Linked DNA regions of Arabidopsis thaliana. The protein of the gene in region 2 interacts with the protein of the main gene of each other region in a pairwise test. Each region holds a gene or a part of one and is shown on either strand. Other genes may lie near its edges. The genes, in order: AT1G49200 and CRK39.

Evidence for each region.
Region 1: the proteins of CRK39 (region 2) and AT1G49200 interact in a protein complementation assay, tested with the Arabidopsis thaliana proteins (one large-scale study listed by BioGRID).

Annotation. Positions count from the first base shown.
Region 1 is NC_003070.9:18,191,263-18,206,577, reverse strand, and holds AT1G49200 (RING/U-box superfamily protein), read right to left. Parts: upstream 8,352-15,315; 5' UTR 8,281-8,351; coding exon 7,600-8,280; 3' UTR 7,410-7,599; downstream 1-7,409. Other genes in the region: AT1G49225 (uncharacterized protein), read left to right, coding at 1-39, 123-266; AT1G49220 (RING/U-box superfamily protein), read right to left, coding at 1-632; AT1G49210 (RING/U-box superfamily protein), read right to left, coding at 3,907-4,584; AT1G49205 (uncharacterized protein), read left to right, coding at 7,790-7,915; RR19 (response regulator 19), read right to left, coding at 12,980-13,399, 13,497-13,612, 13,709-14,710, 14,812-14,964, 15,059-15,236.
Region 2 is NC_003075.7:2,249,694-2,266,886, reverse strand, and holds CRK39 (cysteine-rich RLK (RECEPTOR-like protein kinase) 39), read right to left. Parts: upstream 7,390-17,193; 5' UTR 7,308-7,389; coding exon 6,461-7,307; intron 6,378-6,460; coding exon 6,252-6,377; intron 6,172-6,251; coding exon 6,038-6,171; intron 5,952-6,037; coding exon 5,741-5,951; intron 5,662-5,740; coding exon 5,424-5,661; coding exon of another isoform or gene 5,420-5,423; exon of another isoform or gene 5,339-5,419; coding exon 5,200-5,338; coding exon of another isoform or gene 5,131-5,199; exon of another isoform or gene 5,034-5,130; coding exon 4,749-5,033; 3' UTR 4,567-4,748; downstream 1-4,566. Other genes in the region: AT4G04555 (Myb family transcription factor), read left to right, coding at 97-211, 437-513, 657-693, 844-906, 1,037-1,065.

The DNA.
Region 1 (15,315 bases), on a different chromosome or scaffold from region 2:
GGAACAATCGTGACAATTACGATCTCTGTTGGTTCTGCCGTAACTGAATCAGCTTGACTGAAGTCACCTAATATCTTTTGGCACGTCTCAACCAGACAGTTTCTGCATTTTGGACAAGTCAGATGTTGTTGAAGCCACTTGTCTATGCAACGAACATGGAACCCGTGGTTACACTTGGGGAGCAGCCTGAGCTGTTCACCGGAAACAAAATCAGACAAACAAATGACACACTCTTCGTCAAGCCCTGGCAGGTTCATCTCAGGTGAGTAACTCACAACTGGGAACATTCTAAGAGCTTTCTTCTTGATTCCTTTGTTTGATGAACCCCGTGTTGACGAAAGACTTGGTACAGGCTCGGAGATCATGAAACGTGTAGAACGTCTGAGTGCACAACGAATGATGTAATGTAACCCGAGGCAGCAGATAATGCCACAAATGAGGATTGAGAGAAGCATCATAACATTCCCACTGAGGTTGTTCTCATGGGTTATGAGAGGAGATGGTGCAACCGCAAAGGCTCGTTGAGTGTTGTGGTCAAATGGGTTGTGCAGAAGCAGCTTTCTAGAGACAAAACCGCCAAGGAATTGTTCTTGGAAGGCTTGAGCTGAAGAAGGTAACTCATTTGCAGACATTTTTACTCTTTGAGAAAGCTTAAGGTCAAAGTCGCTTCTCTATGCTTTGTTGGCTTTCTTTGGTTATTGCTTCTTAAGTTCTGAGGAATTCAAAGTTGTCTTAAATATAGCTCGAGATGCTTACTGATTACTGTGGGGACTGAGTATTTTATCTAATACTATTTTTCTAAGAAAGTGGGGTTTCTTCTTTTTAGTTTTTTTTTTCTTCAAATGAGACTTGAGTGCTGATTGTGCCATTGGCCCATACCTCCTCCAACCCTAAGATGCTTGTGTATAGGGACTATCACTTTTCCAACATTAAATTTGGAAATCATTTATTTATGCCCGACTTTAAATTATAAAACTTTGTTTTATCATTTTTGTCCTGTGTTGAGTCTTGATAAGCTAGATTCTATTTGATTAACGTTATTATATGTTTAAGTCTGGGTAGTATTTGCAAATTTTATTCTGATAATTCCCAAGTATCTAAATGTCTGCATGTATATGGTTCTCTTGAGGTGAAATAACATGAGAATTGGAATATTTCTGGAATACTCAAGTAAGAGTTTGGATCCAATGGGTTTTAAAGTGTCATTAAAAAAATTTCAGGAACGTTATAAGTAGAGCTCACTTTTGCAAGAAACTGGAAATACTGAAACACAGAGCTTTAATCCTGTTTTTTTAGTTATGCATGTACCATTATTGATTTTCAATCTATGAATTTCTTTGGTGGAACCTATTCTTTAATCATTTACTCTTGAACGCCTATTCTCAGTGTTTGTCTCTCGGTGTACTTTTAAGTACTTTTCCTACTAAATATCTGTTAAGTAAATATCTAGTTGTTCATCGTTCCTGCTAAATATCTGTTGAGTAAATATCTATTTATTCAACGTTCGTACTAAATATCTATTTGTTCATCGTTCCTACTAAATATCTTTTCTTGTCATGATAATGTAGAGAACTTCGGTATGTGCTAGGATGAATAGGCAGAGCCTATTGTGTAGCAGCTCTTTTGCTTTATAACGGTATGTCGACGAAACTTTCTTTATAATACTATTAGCATAGTTACAATATATGTTATATTACAAAAAGGTTAGACATGAATCTATCTTACTGATCAAGGTCTTTAGGCCAATAAGTGGCCAAGATTTTCTTAAAGCACTAAGATAGTATTTTGAAACATTATCTTCTAAAGCTATCATTGTTCTCTAGTGCTTCTGTATTTACATACTTTTAACGCGTATTAATATAATAGGATAGTTCTCCCCCACCAAAAGAACATTATAATAATTGCGATAGTAGCAGAAATTTGAACATCTTTGTTATAAATTACAGCTATGATCTATTGATATCCTACAGTTGTTCCAGTAGTTAACTGAAGTAAAATTTATAGATTGTTGAGAGAGTTGAACAATTTTAGACCATTGCATGTTGAAGTAAGGGCATTACTTAAGCTAAACCTGCAATTTATCACAGCAAAAGATGTGCTTAGGAAAACTTTGTTGCAGTTTTTGTACTTACAAATACTTCGTTGCAGTTTTCACAAGCTCAATAACATATTACCAGATATGATTTGATACCATCTAAGATGCGTGTAATGGACATATGCTACCTGTAAACCACAGTCTTCTGTTGTTAACCAATAACCCTTCTTTTTTGTGGAAAAGCTCAATTACTCTATTGAACTCTCATTGTTAAGTGGGGCTGTGCTTATTAATTGAACTTTTCAACACTTTAGTTATATCTCATCCAATAAGAAATGCCTAGGATCTTAAGCCCTATTTGAACCATCATATTTTTATGACATGTTGCTTCATTTTAAATTGCAGGATCTCCAAAATCTCGTAGTTAGTTATTTTTTATACAATAGGTTGTGGATTGCAACTTGTTTGGCTGTTTTGAATCACCCAGTGATCAAGATTCTGAGTTTGGTATTTGGAGAATCTATGAAAACGACTAAGATATCAAGTGGTATATCACTATATCTAGTGAACACTCCATGCATTCTTTTATATTAGCATAACTTTTTTTTTTTTTTTATCATTAGGCCAACTTTGTAGTTTTCTTCTGTTTTCATACTAGGAGATAGGACTTCCAAGATCTGAATCGTTACACTAAGCCTTTTGTTCGTTCAATTTTCATGAAAATATCTTGCAGTAGCTAGTGTACAATACCCAAGATGTGTGCCTGTTGTGGGGAAAAGAAGAACAATAGAGCAAGTATATTAGATCTAGACACCACGATTTGATACAAACTTTAGTACCAATTTGATAAGATAAAGGGTGGGTAAGTTGAGGCATCAATACGGTAACTGGTATCAACCCTCAGAGTAGAGTAGGAGATGCTTGTGATAAGAATCCTTGGAAGTTTAACCGTATTTGGTTTAATAATGGTGAATGATTTCTCACTTATCTTGCTTCATACCATCACTTGGATTTTGGTGTATGAATTTTGGGGATGGTATCTACAGATCAACTCTATGTTTTTACAGTGTATTTTGGCTTGGATATGTCTGGTGTCAAAGTTAGATCTCATAAGATGCGTTTATCACTGACTGGCGGTTTAGATTCTTACAAGGCTATGCATTCCCCAAAGTAGCTTCAGGTCTAACTTGAAACTTATGTTGGTTGTTTTTCTCTATTATTGGTTGGGTCCATATTCCTATGGCATAGTTTATTTCTTTATCATTGGGGGGAAGGATCATCTGACATGTGTTATTTGCTATCCCGATGTGTGTTTATTGGTTTTGCGGTATATAGGTAGTTTATGAAGTGGGTCGTGTCAAGTAGATAGATACATTTTTTCAATATCAAGCATACACAAGATGAGGTCTGCATCGTAAATGCATGCACTTCATAGACTAGACACTGCTGCTTTACACAAACCTTAGCATCATTACTTTTTGGTTCTGTGTAGAGATTGTGACACAGAAGAATATGATTAGACACCATTTGTTCTGTCTAATGACTTTTTGGTTCTGTGTAGAGATTGTGACACATAAGAATATGATTAGCACTTATCAGTCTTGGTTATAGATAATTCTTAATGTTTTTGGATATGAATGCATAGTTGACATGCCACCATTACAAATAACTTTGCTAAAAGAACTTTGATGAACCCGTGAGATGCTCTTGTAAAGTGAGATTATATTCGCTCTGTCGACACTTTGTGCTACAGGCAAAAAGAAAGACATAAAAGAATAGAAGTATCTACCTTTCTATGGCTTAGAATCTAAAATCTTCTATCTAACTGCTGACAGATTCTAGATTGATGTTGGTTTCTGCTTTTCTTGCATCTAGCTGCTTTCTCTAAAAGTGTTTACTCTTCCTTCAGGTTCTAGAGGATCAATCCTGACAATTACGCTCTCTGTTGGTGTTGATGCCATTGAATCAGCTTGACTGAAGTCACCTAATATCTTTTGACATGTCTCAACCAGACAGTGTCTGCATTTCGGACATGTCAAATGATGTTGAAGCCACTTGTCTATGCAACGAACATGGAACCCATGATTGCACTTGGGGAGCAGCCTGAGCTGTTCACCAGAAACAAAATCCGACAAACAAATGACACACTCTTCACCAATCCCGGGCAAGTTCATCTCACGTGAGTAACTCACGACTGGGAACATCCTCAGAGCTTTCTTCTTGATTCCTTTGTTTGATGAACTTCGTGGTGTTGAAAGACTGGATATAGGCTCAGAGATCATGAAACGTGAAGAACGTCTGAATGCACAGCGAATGATGTAATGTAACCCAAGGCAACAGATGATGCCACAGATGAGAACTGAGAGAAGCATCAGAACATTCCCTTTGAGGTTGTTCTCATGTGTTATGAGAGGAGATGGTGCAACCGCAAATACTCGAAGAGAGTTGTGGTCAAATGGGTCGTGCAGAAGAAGCTTTCTAGTGACAAAACTGCCAAGGAATTGTTCTTGCAAGGATTGAGCTGAAGCAGGTAACTCGTTTGCAGACATGTTTTACTCTTTGAAAAAGCTTTAAATCAAAGTCTGTTCTCTCTGCTTTTCTTGGCTTTGTTTGCTTATTGCTTTTTTAAGTTTTGGGGAATTCAAAGTGGTCTTATATATAGCATGAGATGCTTACTGATTACTTAATGGGGACTGAGAATTTTATAATTGGATAGTAATAATTATTGTTTAAGAAAGTGTGTTTTCTTCTTTTTTTCAAATGAGAGTTGGGAGAATATGGGACCCAGAAAGAGCTTATCCAATTCCATGAATTCTTGAGTGCTGATTGTGTCGTTTCCCCATACCCCCTCTAACCACAAGATGCTTGTGTCGGGACATTGAATATAGAATTAGTTCTTTTTGTGTTATATATTAGAAAACTTTCTTTAATCATGTTTGTCCTGTGTTGATTCTTTATAAGATGGATTTTATTTTATGTTGTGAGTCAGGGTAATATCTGCAAAATCTATTTTGATCTCCCTAAGTAGTTACATGTCTGCCAAAATACTCATGTAAGAGTTTTGCTGGATGCATTCATTATGTAGAAATGCTTTGGACCCAATGGGTTTAAACTTGAGAAAAGTTTCAGAAACATTACACTTTGGCTAGAAAGTTAAAATACTGAAACACAGAGCTTTAGTCCTGTCTTTTAATCATCTATGTACCATTATTGACTTTCTTTGGTGGAACCTATTTCAATCATGTTCTCTTCAATGCCATTTTTTTGGTGAACTTTTAAGTAACTATCATTTTGTTCATTGTTCCTACTAAATATCTTTTCTTTCTCTTTTGACAATGTAGGGAATAGACTTATTGTGCACAGTTCTTTTGCTTTATAACGGTATGTCGCAAAACTTTCTCTAATTTATAATTAGCCTAGTTTTGAATTATAGCTAGTATATGTATTATAATACAAAAAAGTGTAGAAATGAATCTTATCATATTGATTGAGGTCTTTAGTCCAACAAGTGGCCAGGATTTTCTTAAAGCACTAAGATAGTATTTTGAAACATTATCTCCCAAAGCTACCAGTGTCCTCTAGTGCTTCTGTATTTACATTGTTTTACTTATAACTCTGTGAATAGCAGAGTAGATAGTTCTCACCAACCTAAAGAACGTTACAATAATTGCAATGGCAGTTAACTAGTAGCAGAAATTTGAACATCTTTATTATATTGATGGCAATTTTGTAGAAAGTCTCAATTGTTGAGAGAGTTGAACAATTTTAGACTACTAGCTATTTTTGTAAGGGCATTACTTAAGCTAAATCTGCAATTTATCACGGATAAAGTTGTACTAACAAAATACTTTATAGCAGTTTTTACACTCTCAATGGCATATCATTGGATATGATCTGATATCCCTCAGATGCTTAATGGACAAATGTTACCTGTTAACCACAGTGTTCTATTATAACCAATAACACTTCTTTTTGGTGCACGGCCTCAATCACTATTAAATTCCCATTTTGTTAGTCGGGTATTACTTATTAATTGAACTTTTGAACACTTTATTTGTATCTCATCCAATCAGAAATGCCTAGGATCTTAAGCCTTATTTGAACCATCATTGTTTATGACATGTCTTTTGTTTTGATAACCTTGTTTATGACTTGTTGCTTCCTTTTATATTACAGGATCTCCAAAATCTCGTAGTTAGAAGATGTGGTCCTTAACTAAACCAGTTTAGTAGGTTTGCTTACAATGGGTTATGGAATGCTCAATTATAAGATTTTGATATCTTGATAATATATGAAAATGACAAAGATATCAAGTGGTATATTCATGTTGATCACTCAATCTTTTCTTTTATATATGCACAAGTTTTTTTAATTTATCATAGAGATGGAATTAAAGTAAGTTAAGTTTGTAGTTTTGTTTTTGTTTGCATACTACGAGATAGCAGTGAGTAGATCTGAATCGTTAGGCCTAGCCTTTTCTCGGTTCAGCTATCATGACAATATATTGAACAAGGTAGTGTGCATACACACGATGTGCACCTGTTTCGGAGAAAAAGTATATAGGAGTATACTAAATCTTGACACAACATGCACTACAATCTGATATACCTATTTGATAAGATGTAGGATGAGTAAATTTTGAGGCATCAACCGTCATTTTAACTTGAACCTTCCACTGTTTGGTTTGATGTTGGTAGATTTATCCTCACTTTAAGATTTTGGTGTGTGATCTTGTGGAAATGGGTTTTCTCGACCAGGACGGTTCTTACAAATCAATTCTACATCTTTGATAGTATATCATGGCATAGCTATGTCTGGTGTCAAGGCTATATCCCATAGGATGGGTTTATTACTTGACTGGAGGTTGATAATCTTAAATGACTATGCATCCCCAAACTAGCTTTTAGGAATTACCTATATACTTAGATCGGTTGGTTTTCCTTATCATGGGTTGGTTGGTTCCATATCACTTTCCTATGGCAAAGTTGATTTATTTATCATTGCAATGAAGAATCCTCTGGTATTTCTTATCTTGATGACTCATGTGTTGATTGATCGATAGTGTTTTAAGTGGGTTGAGACAAGTGGATAAATACATTTTTTCTTCACGAACTTCGTCCATATGTCACTATCAAGCATACATGAGATCAGATCTGCACCGTATATGCATCTAGTTGTCTAAACACTACTTCACACAAACCTTGCCATTCATTACTGGAAACCATTTGTTCTGTCTACTGAATGTGTAATTCTGTGTAGTGATTGTGACACATAGAAATATATCACACTCTGGTAATAGATGATTCTTAATGTAGTTTACATTCCATTGAAAATTTTACTTTCTCAAAAAGAAGTTTGATGAAGTCGTGAAATATTACTTAAAAGTGGCATATATTCTCTCTGTAATCTGTATACACTTTGTGCTACAGGCAAAAAAGAAAGACATAAAAAAACATTGAGGTATCCTTCTATAGCTAAAGACATGAACTAAGCTCAGATCAAAAATCTCCTATCTAACTAAATCACGAATTTTGATTTTTGATGGTTTCTGCCTCTCTTGGCATCTAGCTGCTTTCTCTTAAAATGTTTACTCTTCCTTCAGGTTCCAGAGGAGCAATCCTGACAATTACGCTCGCTGTTGGTGTTGCTGCCACTTGATCAGCTTGACTGAAGTCACCTAAGATCTTTTGGCATGTCTCAACCAGACAGTGTCTGCATTTTGGACAAGTCAAATGTTGTTGAAGCCACTTGTCTATGCAACGAACATGGAACCCATGGTGGCACTTAGGTAGCATCCTAATCTGTTCACCGGAAACAAAATCTGACAAACAAATGACACACTCTTCGCCAAGCCCCGGCAAGTTCATCTCAGGTGAGTAACTCACAACTGGGAACATTCTAAGAGCTTTCTTATTGATTCCTTTGTTTGATGAACCGCATGGTGTTGAAAGACCGGCTATAGGCTCAGAGATCATGAAACTTGAAGTACGTCTGAATGCACAACGAATGATGTAATGTAACCCGAGGCAACAGATGATGCCACAGATGAGGACTGAGAGAAGCATCAGAACATTTCCACTGAGGTTGTTCTCATGGGTTATGAGAGGAGATGGTGCAACTGCAAAGGCTCTTTGAGTGTTGTGGTCAAATGGGTTGTGCAGAAGCAGCTTTCTAGAGACAAAACCGCCAAGGGATTGCTCTTGGAAGGCTTGAACTGAAGAAGAAGCTAATTCATTTGCAGCCATTTTTTTAGTCTTTGAAAAAGCTTTGGTCTCTTCTCTCTGCTTTGCTTGGCTTTGTTTGGTTATTGCTTCTTAAGGTCTAGAGGAATTCAATGTGGTCTTATATACAACTTGAGATGCTTACTGGTTACTGAGTGGGGACTGAGAATTTTATAATTGGAGTCTAATAATTCTGTTCAAGAAAGTGCATTTTCTTCTTTTTTTTTTTCAAGTGAGTCTTGAGAGAATTTGGGACCCATAAAGCTTATCCAAATTCATGAATCATTGAGTGCTTATTGTGCCATTTGGCCCATACCTCTCCAACCACAAGATGCTTGTGTAGGGACTCTCACTTTTCCAACATTGAATTTTCTATCATTACTTTTTGTCTCACTTTAAATTGGAAAACTTTGTTTTATTGTCTTGTGTTGATTCTTGATAAGCTGGATTTTATTTGATTTCCATTATTCAGTGATTGAAGTTTATTTTATTTACTTTAGATTTTTGTTGTTTTTTTTATCAAGAAGAGGAAGATTTTGTTGTATCTTCCTCGCAGTTTAATGCTTTGCCGACAATATGTGGTGTGTAAAGTAGTAGTCTTTTTGCTTTAGCATTAATATTTCTTTGCTCTTTCCATGTGTATATGTTTTGTTGCTTAATAGTTCACTTTACTTAAAAAATTTAGAGAATGGTTGGGTGGTAATTTCGATTTTAACATTTTAATTTTTGGTATACTTCATAAAAATAAAGGCTAGCTCCTTTCACTATTTCTATTGTTTGCTACTTAACCAAATATATTTGAATATGTTGCATCATAGTTTAACTCGATTTTAAAAGTATAAATGTTTGGAGACTTCATAAGAAAAATTACTACATCCTTCTACTATTTTGATTTATTGCTACTTAACCAAATAGATATTTGAATTTGTTGCTCCTTCTAGTTACCTTTTCATTGTTGAGCTTCTAAAATTTTGAATCAAAATTGAGAAAATAAGTATGCGATAATATTTATTTGCAAAACACGCTATTTTAATATGACATGCATGTTATCTCTTAAAATGACATGCAATTTATACATTATTTTAGCTATTTGTAAAAACCAACGGTCTCTTTTAGTTATGATTTTGCCAATTTTTAGACCAAAATATTTTTATCTACCTAAAAAACTTGTTTTTCACGAAATTTTAGAGAGTTTTTATGCTTTTGAAAGTTTATTTTTAAGTATATATATAGCCCGATCCTCTGATATGATTTACGATCATAAGATCTTCCCTAACTTTATATGATTTACGAAATGTAGGGAAAAATATCAGATCATAAGATCTTTTTGACTTTTCCTATGCTTACTAAACTATTTTCTCTTTACGGGTAATATATTGCAAAATCTGTTTTGGTATTTCGAAGTATCTAAATGTCTTCATATAAATGGTTCTGTTGTTTGTTTATTTGTTTCATGTTCTTGGTCGGCATTTGTTTATTTCTTCTATACCTTTCAAGAAAAAGGAACGTTTATAAATTTATACGTTTGGATATGAACTTTGTCGCTTTCTTCCCCTAAATTTCCCCAACCTTAACACCAAGTCCCATGTTTCTTAGTTCTTAATGCGCTTTTTTATTTGTTTCATGATCGTTTTATTTAAATGTTTAATTCTTCTAAAGTTTTCTATGAATTTATTTTTTGGGTGTTTTTCTCTTTTCCTTTCCGGATTCAATACGTTATAAGCTGATAACAAATAAATAAAGTATTCTCTTTTCGATAACAAACTAATTTTCTTATCATCAGTTTATATGATAAAGAAACTCTTAGAATTTTTATAAAAGTTCCAATCCAAATTAGAGTTAAATCTTGCAAAAAAATAAAATTGGAAGTAAGTCTTTCTTCACATGAAAAATACTGAAGCTTTGACTAAACTTGTTCATATTTAAAAGTTAACTATGTGGAGTTAGTGGAACAATGGAACAGAACAAGGACTTCTACAGTTCGTTTTTTGTTAGTATTAGTGTGTAATTTTGAATAAATCATTTAAGTATAGGGATAAACTTCTAAGAAAAGTAATATTTAAATGCATATACAGCATATATATCATGTAGTAAGTGGAGGTCGGAATAATGCATTTCACTTTTAACCAAGATTATATTTGTCAGCAAATTTTGATTACTAAGCTAGTATGCATACCCTTTTTCAATTAAAAATTATTTACCTGATAAAATGATTATATTGATTAAAAGACTTTGGAGCTATAGTGCTAACGAAATTTGTGGACAACAATTAGCCCACCAAAAGAGAACAAGTATGTGATCCTTCTTCTTTTATCTCTTTTTTTAATTTGCACTTTCAATTATTTTAATCAGTGATAATGTAGTAAAGCCATAATAAGTATTTAACTTCTATTTTGATGCGCCGTGACAAGCTAAATCCTCGGATTTATTACCTCCATCGTAGTCGAGAATCGTCATAAAGATTTTGCATCTCACATAACCACATGTTTTCTGTAATTGACATACATACATATAAGTAGCGATCAACTTGTTGAAAAATACTTTCAAAAGAACATGACCACATACTTAGAATAGTACTTGTTGATCTTGTTTTCCTTCTTTTATCTTTAAGATTTGAACTTTTTCGTTTTTTGGATTTTCATTGTTTGTTCTAAGATGTTTTTCTTTTTGTTTCATTTTTGAGATCTCCTCATTTCTTAAATCTTTTAATTTCTCTATAACTCATAGATCTTATAATTACCCTTTTAACTTTTAGAAGAAACAAAAAAATTCTACATAATTTGGTTTCTCCTGTCACCATAACGACTCTGCCTTTCCATAAAATTCACAACCATACCAATTTCTGAATTGTTATATGTTTTTTCGAAACAAGGTTAATTACAAGAACCGTTAACTTCTCTCATGTACTTTTGATATCAAACATAGTTACGCGATCACACAAAAGAAATAACTTTATAATATACGAAACAAGAGAGTTTTAATGCTTTAGGTTTGTCGGGATTTGATCCTAAATTTTAAACTTTACATTACACTTTGCTTTCACCGAGATGGGTCATGTACACACGACTGCCCTTCTACATGCATTGTCATATAAAATATTTGTATAAATCTCCACTTTTTTCTTTAGGCCCTTTGTAAGAAGACATCATCATAATGATTATATAACAAAGAGAAAGATTTTGTGGTGAGAAATATTATGTTCTTTTCTAATATCTTTCACCACAATTTCTTCTCTATATTATATAATCACATTATCATTTTCGTTTAATTTACATTGATTTTTGGTAATGAATATGAGTTCTTTTTTCTTTAACTCACCCTTTGGTCATGTTCTATGCTTAAGATATAATTTCATGTATTAAAAATAGAACTTTAATTTTTTTTTGAATAGGATCTCAAATATTAATTTCCGAATTGGTCATGTTTGTATAGTGCTCAAGAGTAATACGCCAATCTCTTTCTATTTCTTCTTGTACCAAGAACATTTGTGCTATTTTTGTCTATTATCATCTCGTTAGATCAAAAACTTATCTGTTACCTTTTATTTTATTTTATGCAAGCTAGTGTTTAGAGTGTTCCAACCAGTTCTTTAACTCACCAAACACCAAAGTAAAATCTTCACATATGACTATTTTTTTTTTCCTTCAAATTAAAATCTGTCATTTTTGGTATTCGTTTCGAGGATTAGAAAAATAAATAAAAACTACGTACTTATATGGATATTCTAGGAATCAACCAATAATCTAGTATATATTCTCAAGGATCCTTGTGCACCACTCTTCCTCAAGCTTAGCAACGGTTGCTCGTGTTAAAATGAGCAACTACAACAACGATATCTCATTATATCTATATTTTTAATATAATATTAAATTATATTCAAAATAAAATTATCGATTTTATAATTAATGCAACGTTTGATTTAAATAGAAATATAGCTGAAAATCTAAAGATCAAAAGTTGTTAAATACTGGATTCAAACCACATTTGTAGCCTTTTGTCATATCTTAGCTTCCATCTCCCATCAGTTTGAATCTCATTATATATGTAGCTAAATATTAGGGTTGAGACATGTTGAATCAATTAAAAACATAAAACGTAGAATCGACGAACATTATTCAGTTATATATATAGTATTGGCTTTGGAACTGCAAATGTTTTGACTAATTAAGGACATGATCAAACCCCATATCCGTTTCTTCCGGATGTATTGAAATTTCTCTTGTGGGAGTTTTTGTGTTTTGAAAGTTATATGTTCTTCTCTAGACTCTAGTCTCCAGACTCTACCCATTATATTGGACATGATGGGATCCCATCTTCAAATCTTTTTGCTTATGCTTTTTATGTACTTGTTATATATAAATAACTTTAGTTTTGTTGATAAATAAAGTTCACATTCCAACAAATAACCAAAAAACTATTCCTGATTCCAATTTTTTTATTTATTTTTGCATATATGTTATATCATGTACACGTCTTTAGTAAAGTGCTCTAATTTTATAAATTTTAATCATTCACGAGAATTAGCAATTCGTTGATTATAAATTAGAATCCAGTTTCTTGTTAATAACATTATTATTCCATAAAAAATCTATGAGAAAGGAACAATGGGTTTATATAATGAGTTTAAATGAAAGAATAATGAAACAATATTGTGACTCACAAGGGAAGTCGCATATTATTTGTCATACATAGACTGCCTTAAGTAAAGAGAAGGGCTATATGACTAATTATAATTGTAGCCATTGATTAGATACTCTTGTGGATCATATGGTAAACTTGGATAAGTGAGTTCAAGATCTGTCGCAGAGAGGCCAGAGGCTTGAAGAAGTTCTTCATTGTTCATCAGGTAATTAAATTGAGGAGAAGACTGATGTTGCTGTTGGTGATGATGGTCCAAATAGGGCAAAGGAGGCGGAGGATTGGTTATGATCTGGTTGTTGTTCATTGTCAAGAAACCATTTTGATATTGATTCTGCTGGATTTGGTTCAAAGTGGCTGGACCATTCATAAGGTACGATGGTATTGTTGTGTTGACATTGTCTGAACCTTGGAGAGAGGGAGCTAGTGTACCATACGCAGTGGCCCAACCATTCCCTTGTGTTTGTTGAGGAATTTGGTTTTCTTCAAGATTGATACGGTGTTTCTGTACAGCAACACAAATTCAATGACTTGGAACTTGTATTATATTGGTATGTGAAAAAACCAACCTAATTCAATGGTATACTTGTCATGAAAGAAACAATATTTAGCGTGTGTGTTTTTTTCTTTACCTGAAGATGACTTGCCACATTGCTTCTAGTAATTCCTTCTATCCTCATTTCTTGCAAGCATTCGACAAGTACCTTTGGGTTAGCTTCTGCATTTTGAAATCCAAAAATAATTACATAAGAACCAACATTAATCAAGAGATTAATGAAAGAGTTAGCTAGAGATTAAAGAAAAGTTTGATTACTTTCGATACCACCAATTATTTCGATGGCTTCCAGAAATTTTTGGTGAAGCTCTTCGGTCCACGTCATCCGCGGCTTCCGTGGTTTTTTTCCTTGTTTCTTTTCCATGTTTTGTATGCCGTTACCTCCGTTTATGGTTATGGAATCAAAGTGGTCTCGGTCTAAACCGTCAGTCGGAACCAGATGTGATTGAACCGGTTGAAATACTTCACTCCATGTCATCCGCGGTTTCTTTGCTGCTTTGTTGAACATGTTATCTTCGTTCATGATTTGAGAATAGTCACTGAATTGGCTAAACTCATTGGATTGAACCAGATCTGATTGAACCGGTTGAAGTAATTCGTTCCATGTCAATCGCGGGTTGGTTGCTGATTTGTTGAACATGCTATCTTGGTTCATGCTTTGGGAATATCCATTCACTTTGCTGAACTCGTTGGCTTGAACCAGACCTGATTGAACCGGTTGAATTTCTTCGGTCCACGTCAATTGTGGTTTGGTTGCTGCTTTGTTGTACATGCTATCTTGGTTCATGATTTGGGAATAGTCATTGAGTTGGCCGAACTCTTTTGTTTGAACCAGATTTGATTGAACCGGTTGAATAACTTCTGTCCACGTCATTCGCGGTTTAGGTGGTGCTTTGTTGAACATGTTATCTTGGTTCATGATTGGGGAATAGCCATTCACTTGGTCGAACTTGTTGGCTTGAACCAGATCTGACTGAACCGGTTGAATTTCTTCGGTCCATGTGATCAGCGGTGTCTCATTGATTATTGGTTCATCTTCTACGATCTTGAAATCAGCTTTGACTTGGTCTAAACGGTCAGAGCGAGCCGGATCTGATTGAACCGGTGGAGCAACATCCGGTTTAAAGATCAGCCTCTTCCGTACAATGTGTTGCCATATATTGGCCATTACCTCTTCTTTAACCGGTTTCACAACATAGTCACAAGCACCGTAAAATGTTGCTTTCATCACAGATTCCGTTTGATTATCATCAGACATAACTACACAAATATGAAATAGATTGTGTTATTTTTCTTTAGTAAAAACAAATTTGGTTTAATTTAGTTTTAAAAGTAAAAAAGAGAGTTTGAGATTCACATACTCACTACAGGTAAATCCAACTTTGAAGTAATGCTCTTGAGAGCTTGAAGTCCATCAATTCCAGGCATATGAAAATCCCAAATCACAATATTGATTTCATGTTTGCAGCTTGTCAAAAACGCAAGAGCTTTTTCTGCATCTGTCTCAATAGACACTAAAACACAAAAGAAAAGAAAACTGTTATAAACCCTAACCCTAACAACTCTCTAAATCCTCATAGTTAGAGAGAGAGAGAGAGAGTGACTCACCTTGATAAGCGTATTGTTTCATGATTTGTTTCATGTTGAGTAGAGTGGTGAAATTGGTGTCAACAACAAGGACATTAGTATTCCCCGGAAATTGGCTGAGAAGAGAAGTGATTTCAGATGTTTCTCGCTCCAAAGAGCGAGTATTATCTTCATATCCACTTATCTTTCCCACCAACATTGGAATTGATTTTGTAGAGAGAGAGAGAGAGATATTTTTAAGTGAGAGATTATGTGTATGTTGAAGTTGTATATGTCTT
Region 2 (17,193 bases):
TTTTGGGGAAAATATATAAATATATTTTTATATAAATTATCAGTATGTAGTCTAAAGTTTTATCAAACTAAGAGTTTTACAAGAGACAGAAGAACAATGAGAGGACGGATCGTTAGATCGTACACTAGGTCAAAAGTGCCGCATTGGCGTTGGACAGATGATCTTAATCTCCTTTTTATTCAAGTTGTTGAATTACTTGGTGGCGAAAGAAGTAAGCAATTTTTTTCCATATCGCAAAATTAAAATAAAGACAATTCTTCTAAATAAATTGAGAGAAAAACCAATCGCCATTAAAATAAACAATCTCCTATTTTTCCTTTAAGATACCTCATCTCTCTTATTTTTTATTATTATATATTACACATGATAATATTTTTCTTGATATCATCTTTTAGATTAACTATAATTAATATCAATATTCTCCTTAAATTTGCAGGGGCAACTCCTAAGGTTATTTTGGATTTTATGGATGTGAAAAACCTCCCAATTTCACATGTGAAAAGCCATCTTCAGGTCTTTATAGTTTATACACATAATCAGTTAGCGATATAAGATACGTCTATATACATAACATGTATATGCATTAATGTAGAGTATCATATTTATATTTAAGATAGTATGTAATGAAATAAATATATATTTTTTACTTTTATTAGATGTATAGGAACAAGAAGAAAGAAGAATCTAGAAAAGGTATAAGTAATTATCTTACATTTAAATTAACATTTAATAATTATGTTTGTAGTGTAACGTTGTATATGGTAGTATGTTGATGTTCAACATAATGCATAGTGACTTTATATCCTTTTCATTTATAATTATGCATGCTCAATCCTTTGGCAGAAAGGAGAATGATGCGAGAAATGAGCAGGAGGCAATCTCAACAATACATTCAAATCTACGAAAGTGCTCGAGATGCTACCCAATTTATCCAAAATCAACAAAGGTTCTTATGTTCATGTATTGAGTTAGGTTTTTGTATAATCGATTTTTGATTTGGTAAATAAAACAATTTTTTTTTTCAATTGTTTTGTAGGGTACAATTGGATATTAGTGAGAAGATAACTCCAGTTTTGGGATCAAGTAACAAGTCTCTCTATCAATCTTCAAGTGTATTTTTTCTTCTTCTTCTTTTTTTTCTTACATTAGTATCATGAATGATCATCAACATGTAGATTTGAGGCATATGAAACTAGATAAATATATACTTTTTCTAGGTGAGACTTAATAAAAACAGAGATAATGATGTTGTTGTTGCTTGTGGTGGTGCAATTGGCGAAGAAGAATTGTCCCTTGAACTCACTCTTGGGCGCAAGTACTAAGACAATTTTGCTTTCTATTTTTTTTTAATGCTTGATCTCTATATTATTTAATGCTTATCCCATATACATAATGAGATAGAAAAATAAAAACCAAATAAAATATTATGGTAGTCCTCTTATAATATGCTATAATGTGATTTTTCGTCCATTATATGGGTACACAAATATATTTAGAAATTTATTTAATTATGTTTTACAAGTTCTCAATATATTGCTGATTTTGCTTTTCCTAAGAATATTTATATTTTATTTGGTACAAACCAATATAGCTATTATATGATGTAAGTACATGTCGTTAAATGGTACAAACGTAAAACTACTAAATATTATGTACTGGTCGCAAAATGGTACAAACATAAAACAAACAAGCTTGCTTTGAAGCACAAATAAGTCACCAAAAGAGCTATTTAAATGTTGTTATAAAAAAGGTACTTAAATGTAGTAGAACATTTGACCCAAAAAAAAAGATGTAGAACAATTTTGTTTGCTATTGATATGATCATGGTGAGGAATCAATCCTAATTTCGGCACTTCAAAGATCTGGAGTGGATATTCTCGAAATGGATACGACACACGACTCAAAGACGAGATGATGGATTGAATGACGCCACAAAAGGATGCGGAAAAGCCTTTTGATAAGTCGAGAAAGATCAAAATTCGACATACGAATAGTGAGTTCCATGATCACATCATCTATGATATAAAATTGAAAGCAACTTTGAAAATATTTGGTTGCATTAGATTTTGTTTAGGTGTATATTTAGAAGAAATATGTTTGGAAGAACTATATTAGGTATGTATTTCTATATTTTTTTCTTTGGAGAATTAAAGTGAAAATAGTAAGGAAAATTGCTTAGATTGTATTTCTTAAAAAAAATCTTTCTTATATTTCTATGTAGAGTAAAATAAGAATCAAGTAGAGTAGCAGAAATTAGGAATTGATACTTTATCTGATTAATAAGGAAATATTCCTCTTATATTTATTCACTCATTCAAATAATCCAACTACAAGGCGATAAAAGGCAAAGCTCCAAACGTTTAAGACAACAAAAAGAAAGGCATTCCTCAATGTCAAAACAAAATAGATAAAGTAAATCAACAATGATTCCACGAGAGATTTGAGACAAAGACTAGATTGTGTTTTATCACATGTGAGATCACGGTTAGTCGAACGATCTTCCACGAACAAATCGATGGAAAACATGGTGGTCAGTGTGCATCGACATAGTGATGTTGATGAAGAAATCAAAGCTGTGATTCTCGCCGGCACGAGAAGCTCTATAGGGAGTAGAGCATCATCTAGGATTCGAGAGACTATGGCTTTATAGTCGGATACAGATTGCTTTGTGACACAACTCAGAGACTCGAGATCTCTCTTGTGACAAACAAAATCTTCTTCAAAGAACATGATCCGAAACTTAGTCATGGTGGAAGTTGGATGGTACTTGAAATTGTTAGATGGTATTATCATAGAGGGAAACTTAGGCATAGATTTTCCATGATAACATTCATTCATCCAACAAATTGGATTTGGGAACAAAGGTCGCAACCATAGATGAATCATAAGCCAGAGTTCTCAAAAGATACTTGTTAATCTATATCAACGAAGGTGAATTAGTTCTGAGATGGAGTCGTCGACCATCAAGAGCATAATGTCGACCAAAGATTGTCAAAATACAAATTGAAACAGACCTGAATATAACGTTGTTGGGCTTGGGCTTCACACGTGTTAATGTGCCGAATCTAGGGACAAATCCCTTTAGGTGAAACCCTAATTTCGTGATTGCTGACCAAGGTGGAAAGAGAGTGCAGCAGTTGATCAAAGCAGAAGGATAGATTTGCGATGAATTATGCTCCTTCAATGTAATAAGATTCGTTGGTAGAAAGCTATTGACATTATCTGCGGCGGAGGCGGTGAACAAATAAAACATGGGTTTTTGAGAAGGATTTATCACTCTGAATAAGGAATCACCATGCGTCGTCGAAAAACATCGAGAATGGCACATCTGATGGTCCAAGAGAGAGAACTCTTGCCATCAACGAAGTCCATGTTGAAGAGTTTCCAAGAGTGAACAAAAGTCCAGATCCAAAATAGTCTTCGGCGGTGGTCTTCTGGTCCGCCGTCAAGGAGGTTGCGAGCAAAGCGAGGAGGAGGGAGTTCGCCAGAAAATACTTTTGTCCTTGGTCGCTGGTTATTGAGAAAACGTATGGATCTAGTGAGTTCGAGAAAGTTGGAGAAATTTGAAGAAAAATAAACAAATTGGGGGAAAAAATCGTGAAAATGAAGACAAGAAAATTAAAAACAAAGTGATGAAGGGTGAAACTAGATATTTCTCGACACCGGCGAACAAAAGCTACGCCGATATCGGAATACGTGAACGGAAGAGGTGCTTCGATGTCCGTGCCTGAGAGAGAAAGACACTCTTTTTAAAAAATATTTTTAAGAAAACGAGTCAGAAAAGATTTCTTATTGGTCAGATAAAATTGAAATCAACTTTGAAATATTTGGTCGTCATTTAGGTATATAAGTAGAAGAAAAGTATTAGGGAGAACTATATTAGTTACTTGATATATACCTTTATAGGAAGTGATGTCAAAATACTCCGAAAATTCCTTATAATATATTTTTATCAACAAAAATTAATTTTAATATTTATGTTCAGAGTAAGATATATAAGAACACTACCAATATTAGATATATCTAAACAACCTAACTTATATAAGATTGTATAAAACCAAAAATGTCTCGTGATATACGGTTACTACATAACTATTGTAAACTATAAAATATCAATGTCTTAGAAATGATACAATTTGTAAGCTTTCAAATATAATAAATAATCATTAAATTTTATAAATTACTACTTTTAGAAAACAAATCATGAGATTGGTTAAAAAATCATCGTACGGGTTATATTACAGAACAGACAAGTTTGAATCAATATTTATAAAATTTTAAATGTCACTAACATGTCGTTTCAATATGAATTAAATTTTCAATATTTTAACAATTAACCCGTGGACTTGTGATATCTATTACTTAATAACAATTATAAACGAGAAATAGAAATATCTTATAAATAGATATAATTTGCAAAATTTTATATATACTAACTCTAAAATATAAATTTTAAATCTAGCTGGGGTTTAAAAATATATTTTCAGCTATTTATTTTTCAATTATATTTATCTGTGCAACATTTTAAGTTTATTTTATTTTATTACCTCTATAATATCAATTTGTGGTAGTTTTAAAACAAAAATGTATAAATAATTCATACAATTTTTTCATCTCCTTACATTCACTCAAAATACCTAAAAGTATTACTATTAGATGACATACACAACATATACTTTAAAAAGCACATTTGAATTAGCTAATTGAACTAACGATAACTCCCTTTTGGAACCAACATTCTGATTAACTCAACGACAACTTAACTCCGTGAAGACATCGTCGCTCATTGACATTGCACCAATTTCAGATTGGGATCGACTTCCAGTGAAAGCAGGAGCTTTAGGTAAAGGAATGATATTTGTCTCACTACCAAGCCAAATTATTACAGAGCTCATTGTTGGTCTCTTTGTTGGATTCTCTTGAACACACAACAAACCAATTTGGATCAACTTTATGATCTCATTTCTTGGTTTCTCTATTAAGAACGGATCAATTATAATCTCAGGCTTTCCTTCAACCCATCTTTTCCATGCCTACACCAAAAGTTTTTGAAGATTAGAAAAACAAAAACTGATATGTGAAGAAACTTAGAGGTCGCCGGTTCGAGTGACGCTTGGGACGAAACTAATATTACATGCTGTGGTTTCGGCCCAGAACCTCCTGGTATTCAAAAAAATATATATATGTGAAGAAGCTTACAAAAGCTGCAAGTCCTTCTCCTTCGAAGCTATTGTTTCTTTCACCACTAATCATCTCTAGAAGCATAACACCGAAGCTATAAACGTCAGATTTAGCTGAGATTTGTCCATGATTCAAGTATTCAGGAGCCATATATCCACTGCATATATGCAAACCAATAACATTAATTCATGGACTCTGTTTTCAAAACAGAGCATTTAAATATACCTTGATATATTTCTTACCGGGTTCCAGCTATTCTTTTTGTTTCAGCTCGAGTCTCATCGGAGTCGAACAACCTCGCTGTCCCGAAATCTGCAACTTTAGGGTTCATCTCTGCGTCTAAAAGTATGTTGCTTGCCTTCAAGTCTCGGTGAATAATCTTTAGCTGCGAGTCTTCATGAAGATAAAGAAGACCTCGAGCAATGCCTTCTATAATTCTGTATCTCATCTCCCATGTAAGAAGTGAACGCTTCTCATCATCTGCAAAGTTCAAAGAAACATTTAGTTTGCTAAAAGTTCTAAAACCATCCAAATTGGCAGCTGTCTTTCGAAGTCTCACCGAAGATAAAGTGATCAAGACTTGAATTGGGAACGAACTCGTAAACAAGAATCTGTTCATCTCCTTCATTACAAAATCCAAGAAGCTTAACTAGATTCCTATGCTGGAGTCTTGTCAATAGCGAAACCTCATTCTTGAACTCTATATCTCCTTGTCCTGAACCTTTTGTTAACCTCTTCACCGCTACCTCTTGCCCGTTTAGTAATGTCCCCTGAAACCGGTCCACAAGATTTGTTATTCACCAAAGATCAAGATCAATCAAGAACTCATAATTAGTAAAACAAATGTTAGTACTACCTTATAGACCGTACCAAATCCACCTTGGCCAAGCGTATTTTCCGATGAGAATTCATCGGTAGCCGCTAAGACCATACCAAGATCAAACCGTAACATGAATTGACCATCAGAATCAGAGTACTCTGCACTTCCAACTAAAAGAAAAAACAAGAAGATATAAGACTTACTCTCTACATCATGTGGTTGATTGAAGCAAGAAATAATGTACACTTACCATTGATTTTGTTGTATGATTCTTTCCTACGTCCATAGACTTTGATATAGCCAATAAACACCAAAATATTAATGAAAGTAAGAACCACAACTATTGCAATAATTCCACCATATCCAATGCTTCTTCCTAAAAATCATCAAACCCCTTTTAGCCTAAGAACATCTTTATCATACTAACAAACTTAAATAAGACTCAAATCAATGTTTTACCTTTCTTTTTTGTTATAGAGCTCTCGTTTCCCTGAGCTTGAGGTCGAGGAGGCGCAGGAACTCTTGTTACATTATCAAAAGCACCATGGAAAGCATATAGATCCCACCTGAAAAAACAGCTCGGACGATAAACCTCGCCTCCTTGTCTTCCCCAAACCTGTTCTTTGAAAAGCGTCACGCATTCTCCCAGACATGTTTTGCAATCTTGGGAAGTTATGTCGGGTGTGCATTGCATCAGCATGTAAACATTTGGAAACTCTGTGAACTCGGCTTTTTCGGCACTATAGTACTTAAGTACCGAGGAAGTTTCAGCTTCTGTGGCAGACTCGACGGTCCGATTAGCCATTGCATTCCATTCTTGTTCGAAAAGAGTCATGTTTTTCGATGGCTCGATACTATTCGGACTTTGGTATCTAACAGAAGGTCTAAGCTCGAGGTTCCCAAAAGTTGAGTGGTTTGAGGTACTTACAAGACAAGAAACATTGTCTTCCTCGTCTTTGTCCCACGTGAATGAATCCACGCGGTTTAGACAACTCGTTGTCGTTAGTATACCCTGTATCGCACTGTCGACACACCTGATACAAGCTTGTTGCTCGTATCCTCTTCCGCAGAGAGCAACAGCATGAACTATGTTGGGACTTTTGCCGAGTGAAGAGTTGTAGAATCCACCGTTGGTGACGACTTTATTAGGAAGAGTAGAGAAGAGATCGCGGCGATTCTGAGCGTAGCTGCTATTACCGTTGAAGAAGCTTCCGGTACATCCGACGGCGTTAACGATTTCCACGTTTTGAAGGACAATAAGAAGAGAAGAAGCGATAAAGATCATCAAAACAGAGTATTTCCCCATATCTTTTTGATCATACGTTATTGTTACGAGGATAATCAATTACTATAGAGCTTTTGTATATTATAAGGTGACTTGAGACAACGAGTACACACTACTTGACTTGACAAAATGGTGTATTGGTCAGATTTTGTTACTACTAGGAAAGTACTCGGACATACGCGTAGGTTCTCATGTCCATATATGTATACAGAGATGTTCATGTTCAAATTTTATTATTTTATGTGTTTTCGTTGTATAGTTAGGATATAATTGAAATACGGTAAAACCTCTATAAATTAATAATACTGAAACCGAGAAAATTTATTAATTTAAAAAGGTATTAATTTATCGATTAATTAATAAATTTAAATTATAGAGAGATTTTACAAATTTTGTAACTTTTTACAAAAATTTAATCTAAAAGGTAAATGAGACCATATATTTATATAAGATTTTCAAAAAAATTATTATCTTATTAATATATTGATTTGTATCAATTTTTACATTGATCTCAACTCGGAACGGAAGAATTTATTAATTTATATAGTTATTAATTTATCGAGAAGTTTTACTATATATTTAACATAAAGTAATACGATATTGACAAAAGATAGAAAGAAAGTAGTATGATATGTTTGTTATCAATCCCATTTGACAAGTTTTCATTTGTGCGTTTAAAACAACTATAGTATACATAACTGCTTAGTAAATTGAGAATGTTTATTCCTATCAAAACATACATTTTACTCACAAAACCTTACTTTGGAAAGTAATTGCAAATTTACAAATAACTTTTCATAAGTGATATTGACTAGTGAGGAAGAAAAACAAAAATTAGCGATTTTCAAGTAGCCTTTTTTGTTTTGTCAAGTAGCATATTAGAAATGTTATAAATATTTCGTCGTAGTTGGCAACGGTGACCAAGTAAGTGTCTACGGTTCTTAGAAATTCCATGATTTTTTTTTTTTTTGTCATCGGTTTTGTTTTGAGCTCAAAAGAATCAATCTTGCGGAATATTGTTTACATAAGTGACATAAAACGATTTAGTACAAATTTTCGTGCCAAATTGTCCGTTTTAACATTTGCATTACAAAAAATTAAAGATAAAGAGAAGCTTGTGAATTCTTCCTTGTCGCTCTGAAAATCCTCCAAATATGCTGAAAACGCCGACTATTCGGTTGAGGAAAAAACTATCTTCACCAGGTCTGAACAGTATATAAAAAAGGCTACATCTTGGTTGTCGGCACCAATCATACACTTTATCGTCCAGAGTAGAGTTTCGACTTCGGTGTAAAGTAAAAATTCCATGATTGATAATGAATAATATTAGGTTCCAAGTACACTAATACTTTTTTTCTTTTTTTCTATATTTTTTTTCTGAAAATACTTTTATGGGTGAATTGGAAAACTAACTAGTTTTCAACACTAAATTAAGAAAATAGCACTATAATTCTAGAAATTAAGAAACTAACATATGAGAACTGGGAAATATCCACTTTATTCTTATTTAACAGACCTTTTTCCTTCATCATCTTCTTCGTTGCTTCTTCTCTTCTCCCCAATTCAATAAAAAATTTCCAGAAAAATTAACTTTTTTTTATCTCAATCCATTCTAATTACAAACATCTATTGATTTAAAAAAATTAAACCCTAAGGATGATACTTTATATGAACCCAAACAAAAATAATTAAACTAAATGAAATCATCTCAAGTTTCAGTTTTTAGAAGTCTGAAAAAATCATGTTTATATACTCTTAATCTCTTTTCTCCTTTCTTAAATCGAATTGAAATCGATTCGATTTTGGGTTTAAATTTGTGTTAAGGAGATATTGATCAAACCAGAAAATATTCAATTAGATCTGGTGAGTCTTCGTATTTGTTTTCCTTAGTTCTAGCAAATAGAATGTAACAAAATTGAAAGTAAAATAGAAAACTATAGTTTTGTTCTGTTTTAATGAAGGCGATATAGAAAAAAAGAGATGAGATGCCAGAGATAAGAGGTGAGAGGTGAGAGGTGAGAGGTGAGAAGGGTAAAGTGGTCTTAATATACAAAATACAAAAAATATCACAACAGCTTTTTTTTTTAGGTTAGTTTCTTAATTATTAAATTTTTTTGGTTATAGATCCAAATTTCTCTACCTTTATTCCTATTTTTATTTAATAAGATATATACATTTTTTTTATAATTATTTTCTTTACTTTTAATTTCTTTTCTATAAAATAAATAAGTATAGTTGTGTTATAATGTTTTAGTAAATTTATATTTTATTTGATAAGATATATTTATCTTCTTACCACACAATATGGTCCATTAAAAAGTTTATTTATGAGCCTTTTCTGAAAGTCCTTGTTTGTTCTACGTTGATTGTTGTAATTCTTCGTTTATTTGCGCTGCCGCTACCGCTTCTTCAACCTCTCGTCCATTCCTCCCGAGCAAGCTTTGATCTGTTTCGCTTCTCTCAGGTTTGTCTCGAATCCGAAAGTAAATTTTAGTGAAGATTGACATGTTAAATTGTTTCTTGTCTGTTCATTAACGCGCGGCACGTCGAAACTTAACCTAGATTTTTTTTCTTCTTTTAAGAATCGGAATCCAAAATTTGTCATAGTGAATGATTGGATTGAGTTGATGGGGATAAAGTAGAAACACTAATTCGGTGGCACTGTTCAGATGATGGCTTTATTATGATTTCTCGTTGAATGGTTTTAAATGTTCAAATGTATATGGTTTTAAATGTTCAAATGTTGTTTGATATGAATTAAATGTAGGAAAATTATAAAATCTGCCATATTTTTCCCAATCGTTATGTAATCTGCCATATTTCTTCGGGCATTACAACTCATACCACATTTGGTTGTGAAATGTCCATTTTGTTCCCACGGTTTACTGAGCAGTTTTCGCGCTCAACAACTGCGTCTTTTTACAATACCTTTTATCTCTTTTTCATTGTAAACCGTGCGGAAAAACAACAACAGTTAACTCTCTCTCTTTCGTCTATCTCTCTCATACTTTCCCTTTCCTTCACCGATAACTTTCATCGGATTATGTCTCCGGTAAGGTCATTTCAAGTTTCTGCATGTTGCTATCTTCAATCATGTCTTCATATTTTATTCAGTGAAGTATTTTTGGAAAATCTTTAGCAAATCCCTTGTTACTGGTCTGTTATGAAAAATCGAGTTTGTCTCCCATTATGATTTTAGATAGTTCGTCCTCTCCTGTGCGATTCATTTACCCAGAAAGTTCGAAAACCTTTAGCAATTAAGCCGGTTGATTGAGTTTGTTCCGATTAATCGAAATGTCCCCCATTACAGCTTTTAGGGTTTTTCGTCCTCCTGTGTGTTTAATTATTTTATCACATCGAATAACTGATTTGATAATTGTTTGATTTTACCCCAACGCAGATGAGGTCTTCCACCAGCAAAGCGAAACAGAAGTCAGCGCTTGGCGGTGCCAGGCGGTCGGTGTCCTTTGAAGACGACGACGATCCATTTCTCTCTGCCAAATCAACCGCTGAGCAGAGCTCTGATCCGCCAATAATTCCTCGCATCCCTGAATTCAATCGGGAAAGACTTCCCAAGAGACTTTACGCAACTGACTGCTATCCGCTGAATGGGCGTATAAATACATACTCTAAGCCTAAGTACCTTCTTTATCTCGTCGATATTCTAGATGGGACGAAGGAGTTAAACTACATTTGCGCCCCTTGTTTTAGTCCCTTTTTTCAATTTGAAGTCCGTAAATGTTCTTTCTCCGGGAAACTGGTCCACCAGATGTTGTGTAGAGGCCTCTACACAAGGAAAAAACACGAGATTTGGTTTGTTTTTGCCGGTCAGCCCTTCCGGTTTTTGTTAAGGGAGTTTGCCATTCTTAGTGGTTTGAATTGTGGTCCTTACCCCTCTCGGAGAGACATATTGAAGTCGCAGCAACCCATAAATCTGAGACATCCTTACTGGAATGTCCTAATAGGTAAGGAACACAAAGTCGTCCTCATCAAGGATATATTCAAATGGTTGAAGACAGATAAGCTGAAGCCTAAAGAAGAGAGGATGGAACCTTGGAGAAGGCTTTGTCTCGCTGTTATAGTTATTGTTGAGGGGATCTTGATCTGTAGTTCCCAACCTGTAAAAGTTTCTAAATAAGTCGTTGAAATGGTGAAGGACTTGGAGGCTTTTGAGGCGTATCCCTGGGGACGAGAGTCCTTCCTTCTCACAAAGTTAGATCCAAGGTCAGCAATCTCCCAGGACTAATCACGAAGTTCAATCAGTCTAACAATTCAACACATGGATTCCCTCTTGTCTTCCAACTTTTTGTCTTTAACGTTATCCCTGAATTGGAAAGATACCTTCCAAACCCCGATGATACGCAGACTATCAGTGAGACGTCTCTCACCAGTTTGCCTCCGTTGAAGACTTACCACAACTCCAACATAATGGAGACAGAGCTAATTCCTAGGGTAATCTGTGGACCTAATTTTATTAGATTCTTATTAGTCTCTCACTAGTTTGCCTTTGATGATTTGTTTAGTTGATAAATTGTTTCGGCTTCAATGTAGTTGAGTATTTCTCCGTTGTTGCCCATTGATGATCCACCATACCCAAATATCAACGACTACTGGATCGATGAAGTTGAAGACCCGACGCTTGACTATATGGAAAGGGTCATTGGTAGCCGATACAAGTTCCAACAATCTGACTGGAGAGGTGGTTGTCGAACCTGGCCAAAGATCGTCGTTGATGAGAACCATCCTAAAGAAGACAATGCTCGAAAGGCAAAGAAGGTGCCTCCACACAGACCATCGGATATCCCTGATTCTTTCCAGGCTGGTCCATCTGGTCCCCAAAAGGGCCCTCTGCTAAAGGTAAAGGGAAGGTGCATGAAGAGTTCAGTACTCCACCACCGAGGACTGATGGACATGATATTCTCCATGGTCTGATCATGGAACAGGTTAATTCTAAATTTCGTGAATTGAAGGATGAACTGAAGGTTGAATTATTTGGGGACCTTACTGGTATGTTTATCTTAGAGAATTCTTTGTTAAAGGACGAACTATTAGACGAGATAATAAGCAATTTGCGCCATGGTGACAAGTTTCCAAGTCCCAAATCTGGTGGAAAGTCTCCAAAGTCCACTAGTGGTGATGGAATTGTCACTCCACCCCCTAAGGCTGCGTCCCAAAAGGACATAGCAGATGAGGGACAAATTAGTGACCCCGCGAAGAACCTCGACCCCAAGATTGTCCCTGAGAGACAAAGTAATATGCCCTCGCGAATCGCTGATTCGTCAAGCAAGAACCCTGCCCCAAGTGGACAGACTCATGCTCAACTCTTGAATGCATTGCAGCAGCAAGCCTGGTCTAATTATGGGGGATTGTCTGAAGTTATTAAGAACATCAACCAATCTCATGCATCTTCCTCTGGTCCTCCGCAGGCTGGAAAGTTTGGTTCTACTTGTTCGGATCCTTCTGGTGGTCCATCGTCCTCGAAATCCTCGAGTGATCACAATGTAAGTTTAATGGTTTGGCATCTATTACTTATCGTTAGAATTTCCTTTTACTTTAACCAATTGTGCTTACTTCTTATTTAGCCAAAAGACTTTCAAACGCCGCTGCAGACCATACCAGAGGACACAGAAGCGGAAGACCAGGACGCTGCTCTTGGAGACGCTGCTATTGGAGACGAGGTGAGTATTGTCCCTTTATTTCTTTTTTGGTATCATATAACATTGTAAATGTTTGCATAACATTTTTAAATAGGAAATGGATGGGAAGTCTGATAATGTGAATATTACTGAAGATCACAACGTAAGTTTCTAGATAGTTGTGTTTTTTTTTATAAATAATTATTTTGGTCTTGAGAATCTTATTTACCTTTAATTCTTTCTTTTTACTTGTAGCCCAACGATTTCCTAACGCCTCAAGATGAGGCTGTCTTAGTTAGTGACTCTGAATCCGGAGACGATTTTGATGACGGAGCAAACCAAGAGGACGAGGGTGATGATTCTCTTCAAGGGGACGAAGATCCCAAATAAAAGGACGAGGGTGATGATACTAATCCAGGGGACAAAGATCCCCAACGAGGGGACGAGGGTGATGATACTCATCAAGGGGATGGAGATCCAAAACAAGGGGACGAGGGTGATGATGAGAGTGAAGGAAGGTCTGACTCCGGTGATCAACAAGATGATCAGACCATGAACGAAGTATTCCTCATTTAATCCTTATTATATCTTTTATTGCGATTAGCAAACCTTTTGTTATTACTGTTGCTATACATCCAGAAGAGCTTCTTCAATCCTCAAAAGTTGATACTGAACAACTATCCGATCAAGAGGTATAAATCTATGTTTTTTCAATCTTTTGTTGTCTTTTATGGATCTGACATAAATCTTTGTCTTATAGGGTAATGCACATGCTGGTGTCCCAATTTCAGAGACTTTTCCCTCTAGGATTAAAAGAAAAAGAGAGGTTGGAGAAGGGGATACTTCTAAGTCTATGCTTCCTCCCAGAAGGGCAAGAAAAAACCCCAGCGTTTTTGTGAGACAGTTACTGTCTCAGTAGTCAAAGGGCCCCATGATGATTTGCACCCAATTGCCAAAGTAAACGATGAGGTTCGGAAAAGCTTTTTGTCCACTATCAAAGCTTATCGCCAAAGGTAATTAAGTTTTCCGCTGAATTATTGTTTTGGTAACTAATATTCTTCTACGTATCTATTAATCATTATTATGAATGAATGGTCAGGAAGTACGTTATCGAGGGACATGTTGTCCCTAAAACATTTTTCAAGGACATGCACACTCCTCAGGCTGCTGTCCACCAGGAGGTATGTACCAAATCAATGCTAAACCTGGGAATATGTTAAAATTTACTCAGATCTAACTGGTTGTCTTTATGTAATCCAATACATCGAGGCTATGCTAAGCCTGTTGGCGCGGAGGTATGGCGATGAGTTGGTACAGAGTATGGCTGTTATACTAGATTCTTCGTTCGCACTTAACTTTGTTGAGCTCTATCCACGTTATAAGAAGGCCAAAAGTAAATCTGACTGGTCGTGGAACAGTAAGATCTGGGACTATGTGAAAGGTATCGTCCCTGGCCGTAGCATCCGATAGGCTTGGTTCGCTGATGTCGACATCTTGTACACTCCTTTACATCTCACTGCCGGTCACTGCGTTTCCATTGTCATAAATCAGAAAGAGGGTACCATAGGTGTGCTAGACCCTATCGCTGACTCGAAGACTGCCAAACAGATGGACGGTTTTGATGAAACCTTTTATTGTCCTGATTCCGCTTATTATAAAGTCGCTTGTCCCCCAAGACCTGAGGACAAATGAAGTGCCCCTTGAGTTTGCTTATGATCGTCTCCCTGAGGTCTTCCAAACTGAGCATGCAGATGACAGTGGCCCGCTTGTTGTGAAGTTTATTGAGCTTCATTTTCAGGCCATTAGCCATGACTCCATAACTGAGGAGTCCGTTGAAGATCTCAGGATGAGATTTGCTGTAGACATCTATGAGGAGTTTATTGAAGCTCTTCGTGTTTGATGTCCATGTTAGAATTTATGTCTGTTTTAATATTTAGTGACTCTACTTTTATTCCGAACTTGTATGTTTTTTGGAGACTTAACTTTTTACTACCTTTTATTCCATATATAACTCTTATCTTTATGTAAAATATTTTATGTGGAGGTAAAATCACTTATCAACGGATGGGGAGGGACATTATATATTTAGAGGGGACAACAATTATGTTGTGGCTTTGTAAGTATGCAAATGCAATACACTTCACATTCGTGGACTATTGTGGGGTATCTTCCCACTAAGAACAGTCTCAGTCAACTGTCTCCACAATTTTTTCTACTAATCTTTATCCCTTACGCTTTTCTATGATTTTACCTTTATGTCACATCACATCAACTTAATATTTTTAACATTATTATATTATTAGGTGCCTAGGTTACTGAAGTTCTTCTTCCCCCCCCCCCCCCGGCCTTTTATCTCTCTAAATTCTCCCCCCCCCCTTTTATCTCTCTAAATTAATTATCCTTCAAATCTTTCAAACCTTTTGAAGGATAACTTGTCCACTTTCTCAATTTTCCAACCCCATTAATTATTCACTTTCCTTTTAACTTGTTCAAAATTATCCACAGCCACTGTAACATGGGCCTTCATAGTTATACACAACCATCGGAATCTTCTCAGCATTCAGAATCTCCGACGTCATATGGACTAGTTTACCCTTCCCAACCGTCGACGCCCATTCTTGGTATTCCACGTCGCTGTTATTGTGGTGGGATTGTGGTTCTTGCGAGTTCGTCCTCTGAGGACAACAGACAGTTCTACCAGTGCGAGAAGAGAGAGGTATGCCCATTAACCCCCATTTTTCATTTCTATCTCCACACGTATAAAACCTGCTTTTGCTATCTTTTTCAAGGCCCGACCTGGGCGTCATCTTGTCAAATGGTTGGACGAGTCATTGGTGGACAAGATTGCAGCGCTCAAGTGCTCTGTCAGGGAACAGGATGAACACATTAAGTTCGTAGTTACCGGGTCTAATGGTGAACGCATTGATCCTCCGTACATGTGGGATCGCCTAGACCTCTACCAGCAAGAAATCAAATCTCTTCAGCATCAAGTTGGTCTTCTCGAACGCTCCCCTCGTACCATCATCGACCAAGTCCATTCTTGTCCCCCGCATATAATTCTCGTCCTCGTGATCCTTGTCCCCATTGTCGCTTTCGTCCTTGGCACTTATATGTAGCGATAATTTCATTGCTAGAGCTCTATTAAATCTTTTTCTTTCCACAGAACTATTGTTTTATCTTTGATTATTTTGTCCACTAATTATGTAACCGTACTGTAAGATGTGGACCATATGAGTATGTGTCCATTTTTTTCGGATTTGATAAGTTTTTTATATATTTCGTTTTATGATTTTTCAATATTTAGTCTATATATTTACTTTTCCATGTCCCCATTTGCCTAATAATGGCTAATTGTCTTGTCACTTCATCATTCATTTAGTTTTCATATTTATGGTCCTCAACTAATATTCTAAATTCTATAAACCGTTTAATTAAATTTTGTACTTTGCAGAGTTTGCTTTGTCCTAATGGTGTAGCTTTTATAGCTTTTTGTCACATCTAATATTCATTGTCCATACCTACTAATTGCATCCATTTTATTTTCTCCTTTAATCCCAACTATATATATAGTTCTTCTTTCTGTGTGAAATCCAAACTAAACCATACTTCAAACATCACAATTTGGTAAACTGGCAATCGCTTCCTCAACATCTTAGGGTTTCAATTGTCCTTCTTGTTGGAAAGTTATCTTACCAACACTTAGGTCCCCTCATTGTCTCTGGCAACGCTGGCTTGCGTCTAGCACTTGATCCATCCGTTTCGCGGGAGACATCCCTGGCCCTCATTGAAGCGCATTCTCAATTAGTCTCCAGTGGTTCACCCATTTACTTGTTCTGTTACGATGTGTAAAGGCTGGTAATCCGGTTGCTTGCTACTTAGAGAGCATTAGGCTGGCTTCATTTGAAAGGTTAATCAAAGAAGCAATGGACATGATCGCCTATATACCCGATCCGTCCCCCAAAATACTTTTTACGAAGGGTCTCTACCATATTGCGGTTAATAGACCAAATGATGCCATTACCGCCATGAATCTATTTAAACTCAATGTTGTCTCTTGCCGCAACGCCGATTGTGTGGCTATGAGTGTTATGTCCAATATCAATATAATTGCGCCACACTAACTTGGCTTGAACTGGATAAGCTGGCCGTGTTACATGATTGATCCCCCTCGTCGATACTCAGAATATAAGAAATGCAATTATTGCAACCCCTGTCCTCTTTGTATTGATTGGTGGGTACTGTGATTATCTTCCAGCGCTTTCAGTCTTCAC